4 linked regions of the Oryzias latipes genome follow. The protein of the gene in region 2 interacts with the protein of the main gene of each other region in a biochemical or structural test. Links are inferred from orthologs where the notes say so. Each region holds a gene or a part of one and is shown on either strand. Other genes may lie near its edges.

What was found.
Region 1: the proteins of cdc5l (region 2) and plrg1 form a complex in vitro, tested with the Homo sapiens proteins (3 studies listed by BioGRID, with this or other methods). The link is inferred for Oryzias latipes from reciprocal best matches to the Homo sapiens genes CDC5L and PLRG1.
Region 3: the proteins of cdc5l (region 2) and ctnnbl1 form a complex in vitro, tested with the Homo sapiens proteins (3 studies listed by BioGRID and IntAct, with this or other methods). The link is inferred for Oryzias latipes from reciprocal best matches to the Homo sapiens genes CDC5L and CTNNBL1.
Region 4: the proteins of cdc5l (region 2) and prpf19 form a complex in vitro, tested with the Homo sapiens proteins (2 studies listed by BioGRID, with this or other methods). The link is inferred for Oryzias latipes from reciprocal best matches to the Homo sapiens genes CDC5L and PRPF19.

Annotation. Positions count from the first base shown.
Region 1 is NC_019859.2:20,800,628-20,805,248, reverse strand, and holds the start of plrg1 (pleiotropic regulator 1), read right to left. Parts: upstream 2,866-4,621; 5' UTR 2,717-2,865; coding exon 2,708-2,716; intron 2,526-2,707; coding exon 2,419-2,525; intron 2,120-2,418; coding exon 1,983-2,119; intron 1,888-1,982; coding exon 1,834-1,887; intron 1,747-1,833; coding exon 1,653-1,746; intron 1,558-1,652; coding exon 1,476-1,557; intron 1,392-1,475; coding exon 1,293-1,391; intron 1,187-1,292; coding exon 1,094-1,186; intron 904-1,093; coding exon 754-903; intron 606-753; coding exon 504-605; intron 1-503. Other genes in the region: fgg (fibrinogen gamma chain), read right to left, coding at 4,473-4,621. UniProt on the Homo sapiens protein: Involved in pre-mRNA splicing as component of the spliceosome. Component of the PRP19-CDC5L complex that forms an integral part of the spliceosome and is required for activating pre-mRNA splicing.
Region 2 is NC_019873.2:1,351,043-1,354,786, forward strand, and holds part of cdc5l (cell division cycle 5-like protein), read right to left. Parts: intron 3,729-3,744; coding exon 3,629-3,728; intron 3,550-3,628; coding exon 3,423-3,549; intron 3,331-3,422; coding exon 3,239-3,330; intron 3,163-3,238; coding exon 3,018-3,162; intron 2,945-3,017; coding exon 2,753-2,944; intron 12-2,752; coding exon 1-11.
Region 3 is NC_019865.2:1,925,318-1,929,810, forward strand, and holds the start of ctnnbl1 (beta-catenin-like protein 1), read right to left. Parts: upstream 3,058-4,493; 5' UTR 2,920-3,057; coding exon 2,890-2,919; intron 2,005-2,889; coding exon 1,771-2,004; intron 700-1,770; coding exon 593-699; intron 501-592; coding exon 361-500; intron 81-360; coding exon 1-80. UniProt on the Homo sapiens protein: Component of the PRP19-CDC5L complex that forms an integral part of the spliceosome and is required for activating pre-mRNA splicing.
Region 4 is NC_019868.2:15,894,058-15,898,698, forward strand, and holds the end of prpf19 (pre-mRNA-processing factor 19), read right to left. Parts: intron 4,615-4,641; coding exon 4,539-4,614; intron 3,094-4,538; coding exon 2,984-3,093; intron 2,889-2,983; coding exon 2,733-2,888; intron 2,637-2,732; coding exon 2,567-2,636; intron 2,479-2,566; coding exon 2,305-2,478; intron 2,074-2,304; coding exon 1,991-2,073; intron 1,465-1,990; coding exon 1,359-1,464; intron 1,244-1,358; coding exon 1,146-1,243; 3' UTR 555-1,145; downstream 1-554. UniProt on the Homo sapiens protein: Ubiquitin-protein ligase which is a core component of several complexes mainly involved pre-mRNA splicing and DNA repair. Required for pre-mRNA splicing as component of the spliceosome.

The sequences.
Region 1 (4,621 bases), on a different chromosome or scaffold from region 2:
GCAGCTTCAGAATGAAACAAAAAAGTTGCATTTTCGATAAATGCACAGCAAATATCATTCTTTAAAAATATTGGCATTAAAAAAAAGAAATTTCCTTTCCAGGGACTAATTGTAGAATTCCTAATTCTAACAATTATAGTCTGACTTCCTTGTTTTTGCCACGATTTCAGACCCTCATGGTGTATTTTGGATAAACGAGGAATGTTTTTCTTTTTTGGATCAGTGTCCTTAAATTGAACTTTTGTTTACAGGGGCGTTTACATTTGTTCATACACAAAAGAACTCAAAAGTGTTTTGCTTTCTCCAAAAACCCCAACTATGGTTCCTATGATAAAACAAAAACAATTTTTTTCTGCAGCTCTAGACATTTGAGCAGGATTATTTTTAATACATCTGTATTTATTTATTTAAAGATCTGAGCTTTGTCACTTCTTGTCTGTCATGTAGGATTTTTCTTCCATGTGTGACATATATAAAGAGTAATGAGTGGATTCCGATCTTACCCTCGCTGTGGCATCTCTGCTGCACGTCATCAAGACATCAATAGTTGGATGAAGGTCCAAATCATACACAGCACTGAGGTGGCCATGATAGTGCCGGATTACCTAAAACACAAAATACTCATGTCACTAAAACACCAAAACTCTGACGTATGAAGAAAAAGAAAGAAATGACTGAACTTTTTGTCTTTGTTTATATTCAAACAGCCCTAAAATGTTTTTTTTTAGAGATATTGTGAAGAGAAGCTTGTACCTTGTTGTACTCTAGATCCCAGCATTTGACTTGCTTATCCTCTCCGCAGGAGAAAAGGTACGGACTGCGGCTGCTCACCGCCACTCCACGCACTGTACTGATGTGTCCAGTCAGAGACAGTTTCAGCTTCCCACTGGCCAGGTCCCAGATCTGAAGGAAAAAGCAAGTCTCATGATATCCTTTCCCTGTAACAAAACACTCCTGGTTCTTTTTTTTTTTGCTGTTCCACCTCAACAAATGCAAAAAGGAGAAGAAAAAAAGCTTTGTAGTGTAAAAACAGTATAAAAACAATCAGAACAACGTATTGTATAAATAAAATAAAAAATAGAGAAGAGATAACCTTTATTGTTCTATCTGCAGATCCTGTCACAAACCACTGATTTCCAGGCTCCACAGCGATGGACCTGACCCAGCCCAGGTGGCCGCTGATGACCTGTCAGGTGACAAAAACCTTTTTAGTAATCACGTGAGATGTTGCTTCCCCTCCGTCACCGGATTTGACACAACTGAAAAGGAGTTCAAGGATAATTTGCAGTTACTCTAAAGAGTTTCCAGGGAGGATGCCACTGCGGTTTGGGCATGACCGGCGTTCTCCTCAAGAGGTTGGAATTTCTGGTGCCGCCTCCTTCCAAGAGCAGCTGCAACGAACAGATTGTTGCGTTAGAATTTTGTCAACCAAGACTGGGTGAGAAAAAAAAGCGCTTAAGAAGCTTGTGATGTACCAGAGCGGTGGACTGAGCGTGAGCTCTTTCTGCTCCACGACGGATCTCTGCAACTGTGGCTGCAGTGCGGCTGGACTCTTGTCTAAAACAGCCATCAGAAGACAAAAAATAGATATATCAATGAATCCCGAAAAGTTGATTCAGTACTATTTGTATTGATTGACTGAACAGGATTACCTTGCTTGTGATGGTGGTAAAGCCAGAGCCAAGGAGTGGATTCCTGACTCACTGGGGTTTCTGTGCACTTTTGTGTCAGCTGTCAGGGCGACTCCTGTTGGGTTAAAGACATAGATAATAAAAAGCTGGCTAAAAAAATGAATAAAGTTCCTTTAAGCTTGGCTAAAAGGAAAGTATTTACCAGGTCCAGAGGGATAAGCGTGCGTTCCCGTGATCAGATATTCAGGATCATCTGCTGAAGTTGTCGGAAACCAAAGACAAACAAGAAAAAAAAGTCAGATTTTTACAATTTAAAACCAAAAACACTGAACGGTGATGCTTCCCACTCACCCGGCTGCATGTAAGCTTCGTTGTCGTGGAGACCGTCTGGATACTGTGACATCCTGTCCTTTCCTTCTTTTAGCACTGGCATGTGTAACACAGGACTGTAGTCTGCCTTTAGCTTCACGGCCAACTTCAACTTGTGGCTTAAAACGAAAAAAAAAAAGAGGAGCTTCAACGCAAACCCACCCGTGTGCCCACGTGAAGTGGAAACATATAGACAAACCATCTCCAAGTGCCAAAGATGTTTATAATCAAAACATGAAAAAATATATTTTCTCCCAATGCATGCCTAAAAGGTTAAAGTAACCCTTTTGATGTGAACTATTGCATAATAAACTAATAAACATATTATGAACGCACGATTAGCATGACCGTGAGTTTTAACTAAAGTGATGATACACATTTTAAATACAGAAGTCATAAATGTAAAAGCTCAGTATACCTTTCATCATCTAAAGCGACGGCTTTAGCATGGTCAGCCACGAACATGTCATGAGTCCTTTTCAAGGATCTGAAGACCAAAGTGTGGACTGAGTGTTTCTGGACTTCCTGTAACAATTAGAAGGAAAAAAAAGTTTACTTGAAAGACGAGTCCATGTGATTTATCAGGGGGGATACACTACAACGTGTGAAGATTCAGAACGTTAACATCCAGTAGTTAGACGGGTCCAGTGCTGTGTGAGTCTAAAGCGTGGACCAAAGAAAATCAAATAACTCAAATAAAGTCTCACCTCGGTCATTGTGGCGATAATAAAGATTGATATCACACTGCAGTTAAGTAGTTTTCGGTGAATATAATCCACGAACACCGTAGGTGTAGCAAAGCGACAAAAACAGTCCACCGCCGCGACAAACGAGTCTGCATGACCCGGAAGTACAACAGCCTGAAAGGCTAAAAGATTTATTTTATGAGCGCCCTCTGGCGGTACGTCTCATCCCAGCGTCTCACAGTGGCGGAGATTATGTTTTTCTATTATCAAGCCCCCATTTTTCGCAATTTCTCCGGGACGTTTTGAAATACATATACATATTTTAGGGGGTTTCAACATTTTTTTTAATTATTCAGTAAAAAGGCAAATTTAAACAGTTCTGTGCCGTTTACACATTTGGTGCAGAAATAAATTAAGGGTTCATATAAAAAAATAATAATAAAAAATAAAACATTTTGTTTTTGATGTGAAAAAGAACTAGTGTCTGGGAATTACTTATTCCCCTTTGCTAATGACCATTCTTCCAGCCTCTCATACATGTAGGCTGGACACTACTGAGTCTGCTCTATTTAGAAGTTCACAATTGTTGATTTTATCCACAAGTTGGTTTGATTTGTTTTAGTTTATTAATCTTTTGCTGTTAAATTTCCCTTTTAAACCAATTTTATTATTTATTAAATATTGTTTTAATAAAAAGGTTTCACAAAAAAAGCAATGAACTCATTTATTAAGAGATGAAATAATTTACAGTAAATATTTCAAAGGAAAATTTGATTTGGATAAATTCCTGCAACAACCAAAGCAGCCTGAAAATAGTACAATCATCTAATCTTATATAATTGGATTCCAGTTATTTCTTGGTTGTCAATGTATTATTAGTGCTCTGAAGATACATTTTCAGGTTTTTCTTCAGTTCTTGCTGTCCTTATCTATGCTTGTAATTTCATTTTCTACCTCCTGCCTTTGATTTCAGTGGTTCACAGCACAGTTGATTTTCATCAAAGACCTGAAAATTGTGTTTTCTGTGTTTTTAACATGTTCTTCAGCCATTTTTCTCATGATGGAGGACATTTATAAAGAAAATTTAGCTGCAAATTGCATTTCGGAGTATTTCTTTATTCAAATGTAAATCAGGAGCAGATAAAAAAATACTGTTTGAAAAAGGTTGCATTTGATATGCAGAAAATACCCTAGGTGGGTCAGAAGCTTCCTGCTCTGTGCTTTGGGGAAGGGGGGCAGGATTGCTCCACACCAACAGTCCTGCCCACAACTCAGAGGTGATTTTCTAATGACTTACTGTTGCACTGCAGAAACTATGTCTTAGAAAACGATACGTTTTTCAATTTGTGCCAAAAAGTGGCACAATTAAAAAGCACAGGGAACGCTTTTCTAATAGATCAAAAGACGATCAGAGTGGAACTTTAAGCGTTCTGTGTTCATAGGGCCTCTTGATTTGACTCTTTTTGGTGTCAAACTGAATATTCGTTGGCATAACTCTTCCACTGACTGGCCCCTGTTTTCCCTGCAGCTTGATCTCAAAAATTTAAAAAAGTTTAAGCCTGAATTTAGCCTTAAGGACTTAAAGAACTGATGACTTTTCAAAGAATAAAAAAAAACAAGACTTGGTAAGGAAAATACATGTATTTAGTGGTCAAAACAACATTGAAGAAACCGAAAATTCTTTTTGGCAAAAATCTCCACAATGGTCAACAACACAGTGACACCGTGATAGTTGGTGGCTGAATACTTGATCTGAGGAGGCCTAAGTGCAGAACACTTAACGGTTTCACAGTCCTCCAAACGTTTTCACGCCAGCTTGCTGTTCTCCTCCTGACATGATGCGGTTGAGGGGAATGATCTTCATGGTCGTCTCCTTCAGCGAGTACCAGCGGTCGTGCCACGTCAGCCAAGTGATGCCATTGTCATAGCCGTGTT
Region 2 (3,744 bases):
TTCTGGGCTTCCTAAGGCAGATTTAGGAACATGTGTTTCACACGGCTCTGTGGTACAGACAGGTTCATCACCAACAGCATCGCTGTTGGCTGCCGGAAGTCCCTGCAGCACATCGTGGGAACAGCTGAGAAGATCCTCGGTGTCCCCCTCACCGGCCTCTCGGACATTTACCACCCGCAAAGCCATCAGGATTGAAGGTGACCCCTCACCTCCATCCCAGAGACACTTCAGTCTGTTTCTTAGCACTGTTGTCACTTTAAACCAGGGGTGTCCGACTCATTTTCACTGAGGGCCACATCAGCATAGTGGTTGTCCTCAAAGGGCCCGATATAACTTCTACATGTAACTAAATGTAATGAAAAATAAATGTAACTACTCCTCAATGTTAAATAACTCATTTATTCATTGATTTATTATTACTTTTTAAAGGGACAATTACAGTTGCATAGACAACATATGGTTGCTTGTTACTCTAACACAGTGCTTCTTAAGGTGCCAGGGGGGGCGCGCAGTAGTAGTGGTTTTAGGCACAGGTAATATGGGCAATTGTCCGGGGCGCAAATTTAACGGGGGGCGGTGGTGACAGCAGCTCAGTGCTTGAAAAAAAAATCTGTGTCACTGTTGGTTTCCTGATCTGTTCTATCAGAGTTTGTAACAGCCTGAAACTGTGAACTGCCGTCCCTGCAGCTGCTCATGTCTCCTGTCACACGCGTGTGTGAGAAGGAGAGGGGAGGGGTAGTGGGCTCAGGCTGCAAGTGGAACACAGCACACAGAGAGCTGCCTCTATTGCCCAACACAAGGATCATCACGTGCCTTTAGCTCATGCTAATAATGTCATTCTTTATGAACTATTGTAGACATTATGATGACGTGTTTTTATTTTCCATCAATGTTTTCTTTGTCTGCCTGTTGTTTAGTTGGTGTCAGTATTTGACATGCAGACAGCAGGTAATGCAGGAAAACAGCGTCACAGATCATAAATTATCCATCATTTAGAAATAAAATCAGAACAATGTTTTTATCTATTTCCTCAGACTAAAAACATTAAATCTATTGGTGCTGCTGTGTTAATGTTTCAGATCAATTTACATTTAATATTATTGATTGAATTCTTTTTCTCAGCATCAAATGGTTCAGTTGATCAAAATGTTTCTAGTTTAAATAATAACTGACAGATTTTTTATTTCAGGCTCTTTAAGCTTCTTTTCTGTTTTAGACTAACAGAGTTTCTGTGGCTAAAGAAATATAATATTTGTTGAAAATGGATTTACATTGCTGTTTTCTTTTGTTAATGTTAAAAAATACAATTTTAGGTATACTTAGACAATTTTTATAGATACTAACCTAATATACCGTCACTGCAGCAAGTGTGTGTGTGTGTGTGGGGGGGGGGGGGGGGGGCAATTATTTTAACTGGGGGGCCACATTGGGTTCTAAAATTCAATAGAAGGGCCGGACCAGGAGCAGATGTGTGGAGTGAGAATGAAATAACATGGAATGTAGATGAAATAATTTGAAAGGAAAATGATATTCTAAAGCAGAATATTCTACAGTTTTTAGTTTAAAACTTTTGTTCCCATTTTAGACCTTTTTTTTTGTGAAGCTCTTTGGTACCTTCAAGGAGTTATAAAGTGCTGAATGAATAAAGTTTCATTCATTCATGATCCTTTTAACAAAATAAATAACTGATCTTAAAAAAAACACAAAAACAACAATAAATAGTGGATCTTCTCCCGTCATTATTCTAATAAAGACTTTGAGGCTGCAGCTCCTCACGTCTCACAGTTTGTGCTAAAGCTGAGCAGCTGTGTCCTGCACGTCTGTTTCTCATCCAGTAATCCTCATTTATTGCAGGAGTTACATTCTAAAAATATAAATAATAAAAAACCGTGATCTATGAAATCCACAGAGAATGATTATAGACGTTTATGATTTATGGCAGTAAAACTCCCCACTGCATAAACACACTTTTCTCAGACAGACATGAACATTTTCACCTTGTCTTTTGTTTAATTTCTCAAACCTTCATAGAAATTAGATCCAGGATCTTATAAAGGAAAACAATGATCTGATCGATCACAGATTTCTGATCTGAAGAGCTCTGCGTTTCTGTTCAGGAGACACGGCACGGAGGAGATTGATTGACAGGGTCTCCAGCCAATCAGGACACAGAACGGGGTGCGCTGTTTAAAGAAAGCAGCATGATCGCTCTAAAAGAACGAGGTAAACCGGGAAAGATGAACTTGCTGTTTTTATCCTTATTGTTATTTTTATAGGCTGCTCTCACTGTGGGCTGAGAGAAAGAAATCTCCTCTGTGCTGTTTATCACGTGTGTGCAGCATATTGACCAATAAGCTGACTTTGACTCATCTCACAGACGGGAGCCACCAGCAAGTTAAAGATTGCACCTCTGGCACAGGATAACCCCCACAGAGGGGGTTTTGTGGTGTCAATGCTCCCCCTGCTGTTTGTACCGTGTTGTCATGAAAGCAAACTGAGAAATGCAAACACAACCCAACGCCATGACGATAGTGGGAGGAGCCACGCCAAAGAGAACCCTGCATAAACATTTCAACAGAGAAAGCCACTGTTCCACAGAGCAATCAGTCCAATCATTAAGAAGCTAAATGCAGCATATCTGGGCCTGGTTCTTCAGAACCAGAGAACATCCAGAACCCCCACCCCCAAATCAAACAGAAATCACCTCAGATTATGACACAAACAAGGCAAAACCTCTGCCTTCTTCAGATACCTGCATTATCCTGTCCTGAGCCGCAGGGGTGCGAGGGGTCCGCAGTCCGGCAGCCATGTTGTTTGTGATGTTGTACTCTGACAAAAGGGCGGAGGAGGCGGAGTTTCCACTTTCACTCTCCTCGGCAGCCTGGCGTGCCACTTCACTGGCCACACCCAGTTTGACCACTTCCTCCAGCTCAGCATCACTGATCTACAAGAGGGGAGTCTAGTCAGGGTGTGTGTCTGTGTGTGTGTGTGTGTGTGTGAGCAGGTCAGTGTGGTACCTGAGGTGCAGGTAGCACTAGCTTGGAGCGTTTCTTGGTGAACTCTGCCACGCCGCTGGTCTGAAGGATGGCAGATGGCAGGTCGCTCTCCTTCTTCTTCTTTATTTTCTGTTTGTCTTTCTTCCGGTCCCTCTCTTCACGCTCACTGCATCAAAACAGCACAGGTTGAGTGTTTTTGGCTCATGCCTTGCAGTGCATCAAACCGTGCAGGTGGGACTGACTTGCGTAGTTCTCCATCCAGGTGCTGCTGTCGCAGCCGTTTGAAGTTGGGCTCCAGCGCTTCGTAATTTTCCATGCTGGTGTCATAGAAACCCTTCAAACACATCAAGCACACAGCTTCAGGTTGTGCTCTGCTGTTGTGGGTTCATGGGTTGTTGATGGGAGCTGGAGCTCATCTGACAGTACCGGAGCGGGCTTCTTTTCAAACGGGATTTCAGCATTGTAGTCCACTCCTCGCTTCTTCTTCCTCTTCCTCGCAACAGCAATTCCTGCTGCTCTCAGCTCCCTGCGTTTCTGCAGGGCAGCCAAACGCCTGCAGCAGAACCAAGTCATACCGTGTTATTTGATCAGGAAACAACAGCTTTGGAGGTTTTCATCATATGAAGGATGACCTGGCCTCCTCCAGCTGTTTCTCTCTGGCCTTCCTCTTGGCTTTCTTGCCCTGTGTGTTGGCCAGGCGAGCCCTGGCTTCAGACAGCATCTCCAGCTCGTCTGCAAACACAGAAGC
Region 3 (4,493 bases), on a different chromosome or scaffold from region 2:
TTCAGCGCCCTCCTCGCTCTCATGGAGTGTGTCGATGTCTGTCAGCTCCTGCAGCAGGTCCACCACCGCGATGGCGACATGTGCTTTGGGTTGAGGACAATAAAACTGACCGACAACAGCCCCGCCCCAAACAGACAACTAAATCATATCAATAATAACACATGTGGGTGAGCCCAAAAGTCTTAGTTTGGTTGCTTTCATGTTATCTTAAAGATAGATATTATTAACTGCTACAACAGGTTTTCTAGAGTTTTTCTAATCAGAGCTAACAAATCCAAAATCGCTGATGCATTATGTTTTATATAGAGCTCCAGCCCCCAGATAAACCAGTTTGCAGGTCAAAATCCATGTGAAGGATATCTGTGTTTTCATGGCTTAGAAGGCCCAACAGGGAGTGGACGGCATTGAGCTCCACCAGCAGGTGGTAGAGATCCGGCATGGTGGCGATCACGTGCATTTCCTGGATGATGTCGTTGAGATCCAGCTCCGACTCCATGAACCTGGTTCGGAAACAAAGTTAATAGTTTTCCAAAAAAAGAACATTTAAACAAAATCTTTGATGTAAAAAATAATAAAGGAAAAGCATGTTTACTTCTCAGGATTGTCAGGAAACTTGATCCTCAGTTCCTGGTTTTTGTATGACCTTTTCTCAAAGGTCAGGATCATTTTCTTCACTGTGCTTTCATCCACCGGCTCGGCCTGTTTGATCCGTGGAACATCAGAGGACATGGCAGTGGTGAAGAAAATAGAGGAGGAAAAAGGGGGCAAAAGCTTTTTAGGTCGAAGCAGCTGCTGCCGGAGCAAAGAGCCATCACTGCGACATTAAACGTGTGAGTGGAGTCATTTTTTTGCATCAATTAGGGTACATTTTACAGAAAAAGGGGATGCGTTTGACCTCCTGAAGGCTTAAAAGCTGTAAAGTGCTAGACGGATAATGACCGGTTAGGACATTTCAACTGCCTGACATTATGGAGAAGAGGAGCCATTAGCTCTGAGAGGCCCTTGACAGAGTAAATTTTTGAAAATGCCTGCAGTGTGGGGATAATATGAACTGAATTATCAATGTGCAGTCTTCAAATGCACTGCAATATGGTAACACTGGTTCTAGTGTTACTCCTTTGGAAATTCTGACGCAGCTGCATTTTCCACCGTGGCCTAACTTAAGAGCTTCGCCTTCTGGCTTTTAATGCCACAAAAAAAAAAAAAAAAAACAGGTACGTTTACCAACATTTACTCATCACCGTGGTCTCTCTTCATTTTTATCTGTTATCAATACCAAAAGGATGGTTACATTCGCACACATGCGTTTTTGTTTTTGATAATTGTTTTCACCTCGCACCTTGAAAAATGGACACAATGAACATTTAAATAAGGAGAAAGAACCTTCTAACACTTATTAGTTCTTCTCAGTCACTTCCTTCCCTCATTTTGTCCAATTCTTACCATGTGGTTGTTAGCAGAAGTTGAGTAGTCGTGGCAACGACACAACTATTCATCTATGCTTAGACAGTAGTGCAAAAGAACCAAAAGCATTAAGCTCCTCCAAATGTATGCCGTATTGCAAATGTTCATCACTTCTGCATCATTCCTGCACTCTCTAAAGAGGCAGCTCTGCATAACTCGCTTTAAATTACAAACAAAACAGCATTTTTCCACCTAAAGAGGAATCAAATGGTCTCTGTGATAAAAAAAGGAAGAAGTCTGAACTACAGACACAGCCTTTTGGAAGAAAGAAAAAAAACGACCAGTAAATAAAAACAGCTTTCCCACCTCGGGTTCTTCTTCATCCTGGTCCATCAGTTTTTCCAGTATCCTCTTCTTGTCCCCGGTCTGCTCTTCGCCGTCCCCCGGTTCAGCACGACCCTCTGATCCCGCTCCAGCTTCCCGATGTCTGGCCGGGTCCCGGGATCCCAGTCCCTTCTGCTGCTTCCCTCCTCTGGAATCATCGTCTCCTCCTGCTGCTCTTCCTTCTTGCTCCCTGGGACGTTTTGCTCCTCTATCGGGCTAAGAGTGGAAAACCAGTGACATGCAATAAGGAGCACAGCGACTGAACGTGATGAAGAAATATCAGGTGAACAGGCAATGATGAATGTCCAATGTATGAAAACAATTGTTCGGAAAAGCTGCAGCAAAATAAGTCAATAAAGTCCAGTACAATTTAAATGATGTGATTACTTCACCTGTAAATTAATATTACTTAAATTGTTTAAACAGTAAGAAGAATGAGCTTAATAGGGCATCTGAGTAATGATTATTATTAGGAAATAGGTAAAAATCCATAACAAGATAACAGCCATAGCAGCTTTCAGCATTAATGATAGGAACTTGTTGGTACTTTTTCAAAACGCAAATGAAAAACACAGCACAGGAGTAAGATTTTTGAACTTTATTACATAAAATAATCACATTTATATTAAAGGATGACATGACAGATTATTTCTAAGAACTTTTAGGGAATGACTGAGTGAAACGTCATCCATCCAGCAGCCAAAAACATTTGACACCAAGTCCGGATTTTTGGTTTTCTCCCAATATTATTTCTTTTAATAAACCCCTAATGCAAATGTTTAAATGATTTTTTTATCGTTAATAATAAAAATTTGCAGCCAGCAGCACTGAAGTAAACCAAGCTAATTTAGTTTTAGCGCTAAAAACTGTGTACCGAGATGCAGAGCAGTCTTTATTATTTTGCTCCGCCAACAACATAATGTACAAACTTATAAAAACAATAATCACAATTTTAACTAAAAAAAAAAACAAAAGACAGAGAGTAAAGCGAGAAGAACTAGAAGCTCAAGCTGAAGTTCAAAACTGTAGCCAGGAGCTGAAGCTCAGCTGCTACATCTTGAATGAATGACCGGAGGCTGAGAAAGAAACACATCTTCGTACCTGATAGTTTAAAAGTTCTCCAACATCCATTTATCCAGCCGGGAACTCTCACAATAAAACACAGTCTGCTTAGAACGCAATGAGGGGAAAGTGCGGCTGTGCGACTAGCTGCACGGCTAACTACAAGCTACCCAGAAACATGCCTGCCGTAAAGCAGGGCTGCCTGTCGTCATGGCAACCTGATGTCGCGACACTCCATTATCTCATTTTGCGTCTAAATGAACTGGCATTGGAATTTTGGAAGAATACCAAAAGCAGAACTGTTAAACAGTTAAAGAATAAATGATCCACTGTCTCAATGTCCTTTAAACAAAAACTGCAATCATTCTCTTCAAATCCAAAACGAAGTATCAAAAATTCCTTGGATGGGTAAACATCACTAATTATTTTAAAATGAATGTCTTTTACTTTTGGTAAAATACAAAATGTAAAGAAATTCGACCTTAAATCAATGACCTCTTCTTTAGAGAAGTGTTTAGAAATGCTTTTTTTCTGATGAGATGTTTGGAAGACTTCTTTCACAAACAATCTTCGTATGAAGCTGTTTGCTAGTTCTGTCTTTGTAACTGGCTGTCCGTCCAATAGGAGTGAAGGAAGTTTTAATTGAACTTTGTTTAACAATAGATTTTGTGATACTTGGATCAACGACCGAGGAAGAGCTTTGTTCACAGCATCATATTGTTTCCGATCAAATAATTGAAATTTAGAACTAAAATTTTCAAATGTCAAAATATTTCCAGAATGATCAGCAAATAACTGAAAAAAGCGAATCTATTATCTATTGCATATCGAGGAAATATCAAGTATTAGATCATTTAAACAACACAACAAAAATATTCCAGTATAAATTTTGAACATTCAGATAGATCTAAAAAATAAAAAAAAGGATTTATAACTTCATACAAGTGAGTATGGATTTTTATTAAATTTGGTCTTTTTTCTTTTAGGCCTCAGTCTAAATATTACTCATTCCATATAGTGTCACGGAATTTTCTAAAGTTATGATATTCACCAGAGATGAGTTAACTTTGTGCACAGCTTTCGTTGTGTTCAAAGATGTGTTTAAAAAATGCAAACAAACAAATAAATACGATTTTCCCTTTTGTCATCTTTTAAAATTGTATTCGTGGTAAATTATATGAGCACAGTCCCTAGTTTAAACAATTTCACACAATAACATCCCTTAATGCTTAAACTGGTGGCCTGACCACACAAAAGAAAAGGCACTTGGGAGTCGGGCTGCACGATATGAGAAAAACTCGCGATATGCGATGTTGGTGATTACTATTGCGATAACGATATCATTTGCGGTATATAAACAAATAGCAAAACAACCAAAAACATCAATCCCATTTCACTGCAACAGTTTAAAAATTATACTCCAAATGACCCTCGTCGACATAGGAGGCAAACATCAAGGGCTCATCTGATTGGTCAACAATGTAAACGGGTCCTTCCGATTGGTCAAATGCATAAAGGGATTTATTTCATTTGTTCAATATTTCAAGCTGCCATGAGTTTGTTTTAGCACATTTAAGGTAACCGTTTATTGCGATTATCGCCATCTTTTGCAGTATGCATATTGCACAGCTTGATGTTGCGAT
Region 4 (4,641 bases), on a different chromosome or scaffold from region 2:
ATAAATAAATGTAAAAAAGATAATCATAAAGACATAGAATGATAGAAACTTCTGTGAAGCAAGTGAAAGTACATTTAAAGTACTTATGTTCTGCACCTTGATGACGTCATAATGTGTACATTATACAATTACACATTTTCTTACTGAAAGTATTTATTTAGCTATATTAAATTCATACAAATATCCACCTGAACTTAGCAGAAAACAAATGTTGATCTTGTGAATGTTCAAAAAAGAAAAAGGCTTTTCTTCAATTCTTCACCCCCCTGATGTTTTCAGTTCAAGTCCCTAGATTTTCACTGAAATCTAATTTTGCAAAGCATTATTGCCTTTTTATTATTCACATATATAAAAAAAATCTCCCCACTTAATTTTCTGCACCGTCTTTAGTTATGCAATTCTAAGTTTATTACTGAATTTCTTTATACAAAAACAATCTTGCTAGAAAATGAATTGTAGGAAAGACGCAAAATATTTCTCACTAACGTGCAATTTGTGTCCAACACATTATTTATGGTATTTCTCCACATTTTTAAGTAAAGCCAACAAATTAATTCATTTGAAAAAAAAATATTTTTATTTTATCAAAGGCAGAGCTGCAACAAGTACAATGCTGTTTAATGAGCAATACAGGAAAAAGGTTTAAACTGAACAAATAAAATGAGAATGAAACTTTGGATGGCAAAATAAACAAAAAAAAAACAAAGTCTTCCTCTTTTTCAGGATGTTTTACCTCATTGAAGCTGTGCATAAAGCTAAGTAGGTTATCAATTCATTTTTGACAAATTACAATGTGAAGTTGTACAATATGCTATAAAACCCCCTCTTCTGACAAGTTAATTAAAAAAGAAAAATGTGTAATCAAATAAAACAGCTGGCACTGACAACAGGAATAGTTTAAGCTTTTGTTCCAGCAAAACAAAATGTACTTTTTTTTTAAACCATCAAAGTCAATAAGCATGTTCTTATTATGCGGCTGTGGTATTAATGGAAGATGGTTTCATATAATCTCTTCCAAACATGTGAACTAACACACTAAAAAAAAGTTGCCTTATTTCTAAAAATGACTATTTCCAGGACAGAATCAGCTCAGACACGCAGATCACACCATCATCATCCCCCCCTCAGCTGGCAACGTAAATCCTCTACAAACTGTAAAATCGGAGACTTCTGTCCATTCCTGCGGATGTCAGGAACTTGGCATGTTCTCCAAAGGCCACCCCAGTCACCAGTCCAGTGTGGTCTATTAGTGAAAACAAACACATAAATGATGTATTCCTTTCTCAAGGAAAAAAGTCATTTCAAGAACAAAAAGCAGCTAAATATTTTGATTAAGTAACTGCTTCTTCACCCCTCACCTGTAAAGTTGAGTACTTCAGACCACTGTTTGCAGATGTAGACACGAATGTCAGTTCCTGCAACGGCCAGGTAGGTACCGCTCTGATCAAACACAAGGGACTTGACCTGAAACACAAACAGGAAAAAGATGCAGCTCATGAGCTCCCTATGCAAATAAAATAAAAAAAACAGGGTATAATACATTTCCTCACTTTAACATCAAGCCAGATGTTTGTTTATATTTCTATTTAATGGTCATTTATGGTTTCTCCACGCTGAATGTGTGGGGGGAGGGGCGGGGATTAGAGGCATTGTGTCTTAATTCCTACTTTTTTTCGGTAAATGTGTAGGTTTGCTTTGTTTTTTTAAGTTAGAAAAATATTTTTATCCTGTTAGCAACAAAGTAAAAATAGCTTTAAAAATAAAGTTTGAATTTATCCCGAAACCATCCTAATATATACAGTATATTATACAGTCCTCAAGTTAGAAATAGTTTACAAGCTGAAAAGTTATACATTAAAGTTGACATTTTGGAAATATTGGTGAGTATGTAAACACAAATACTTCTAATTTCAGGATGCAGAAGAAAAATAATCCTAATAACTGCCGTTCCTCCTTTAACTGCTGTTATTGTGTGAGAGAAACCTCGTACCTCGTAGTTGTTGTCCAGGGTGATGGTCTTAAAGTTCTTCAACTTCCTCAGATCCCAGAGTTTCAGAGAGCTGTCCTGAGCCCCTACAGTAAAAAAAAAGCATGCAGGAGATTAAAACATGGCAACAAATCCCCATAAAGTCTTCTGCTAATCAACTGCACAACACAAACGCAATCAGAATATAGACTGCCGTCACATTGAAGCAATCTCTAATATTCAAAAGCTTAAAACATGAATCATTACAGCTCGATGGTGTACTCATCAAAATGTACACGTGTGCTGTGTGGAGGAGGAGGGTTTCATTTGTGCCTCACCTGTAGCCAGATAGTATCCGTTCTCAGAGAAGGCGATGGAGGTCACAGGTCCAGAGTGGCCGGGGAAGTTGGCCACATTGGTTCTCTCCTTTAGATCCCAGATCTTGATCTGAGAATCAGCAGTGCCAGTTCCAAAGATCAGACCGTCGGGGTGGAACTGAGCACACGTGAGAGCTGTGGAACCCAAAAGGAAACATTGGCAAAATGTGGAGGATGAGTCCAAGCAGCAGTCTGATGGTAGAGGGACTCAGAAGGCGCTTACCACAGCCAGCACTTTCATCAGTAACTTTGGTGAGGACTTTACCAGTCTGGATATCAGAAAAGGCCCAGTACTGCAAAAAAAAAAAAAACCCACAATGTTGTTAAACGGAGGAACACAATTTTTGTCATTTGATAGCACAATGTTGGGGTTGAGGCTCTACACAGACCTGATCCTCAGAGGAGCTGAGCAGATAATCTCCAGTGGCGTGCAGAGACAGACCTGTCACGCCCGCCTCGTGGGCTCGCACCACCTGCACACAGTTCCCTCCGGTGACGGACCACACGCGGATGGTGGTGTCAGGAGAGGCCGAGAAGACCACAGACTAGACAGGTCAGAAAGCAGCGGAAAAGTCCTCCCATTAAGATATGAAAGGACATTTTAGCTCACAGAGGTAAGTAGAAGAAACAGAAGACTTACCTGAGATGGGTGGTAAATGACAGAGGTCACTTTCTTAGTGTGACCTTTAAGTGTCGCCACAATCTGCTCTTCACTCTTGTCAAACACAACAACGTTCTTATCAGCTCCACCTAAACAAACAGAGTTAAAGGCACATCAACTCTTTTTTGCATAGAACACCACCACTACATTTATTCAACTGTTGAGGAGATTTAAGCAGCAGATTTTAAGAGTATAATTTTATTTTTTTACAGCACATTGTGTCCTGATTGGCTGGGGAACTTGTGAATCAATCTCTTCTGTGTCGTTTCTCAACAGAATTTGTTCAGATTGTCAAATTCACATAAACCTTTGTTTTCATTTATTATAGTGAACTTTTTTTCCCCAATGGATGTTTGAACTTTGAGAGTTAAAACAAGAGAGAAAAGTATGAAAATGTGAATGTCTGTCTGAGGAAAGTGAGGGATTTACTGCCGTAAAACATCTAGAACTGGAGTGCTCATTATGTTGAAGGACATGTGGGTAGATCTCCAGCCATCAAAGAGAAATAATCCAAAAAACATATATATACTTTTTTTTTTAATCTGTCAATCATCTTCCTCACCGAGAAGTGCATGATTTGATTGACATGTAGATCGGTCAAAAAAACATCCTCTCATCCATACGTTTATACAGCACATGCGTGTGTGTACGGCACATTCTTTCTGCGTTTGGAGAGCCACTAGCGGCCTCGCTGTGCGCGGACTGTTTAGTGAGGCCTGGGTCGCCCAGCATGCCTCCTGGAGCGAGACCGAGACCCCCCGTCTGACCCAGCCGTCCTGTCTTGGCGCCTGTGCCCGGTCGGGGGATCTGAGCCCACTAAGCCAGCAGTGTCGTCGTGAAGCATGTGCTTCTGGAGCTCTGTCCACGGGCCAGTGGCCGCTGTTCGCTCAATCATGGTTAAGCCTGCCGCGCTTTTCAAATGTCCTACCTTCTCCAACACGGTTTACAGCAGAACATAGAGGGCAATAGTCACTGCTTTTTGTTTTCACAACAGAACGCCTTATGTGTTCCAAATTATGTATTACTACAAAAATAATATTAATACACACAACAAGGCTTTCTCCTTACAAAGATGTGCATACTCTTACTCTGTAGCTTTTGAATTTTTAGTACATAAACAGTATTTTAGACAAAATACTGCACTGGTTCTCAGCTCAAAATACTGTAGGTAATTCTTTTGGAGCTTGTCGTCTCAAAAGTAGCTTGCCTGCCAAAAAGAAAATGTGGGCACCCCCATAAAAAAAAAAAAAAAAAAGAATACCAGTACTTTGTAGATCTCACATATTGTGGGTTATTTTTTAAAATGCAACTCCTGTTATAAACAAAGCACTGATGCTCCACTTGCACCTTTCAGCTTTTGAATTCAAGTCTCTCCTGGGTGCTGTGCTGAAAAAAGGCTTCAGTCAGGGAGAAGCAGCAGCACAAGAGTGAAACTCACAACGCTGCACCTTAAACAGCCAGTTTTCATAAAGTCAAAACAAAAGCACACAAAATCACCTAAAACTAAATCAACATTAAAATAATGACACTTTACCTGTGAGCACTTTGTTGGTGTCAGAGGGACACACATCCAGAGCCAGAATACCAGGCACACTGGCACTATGCAGACCCTACAGGAAATATCAAAGTCACACCAC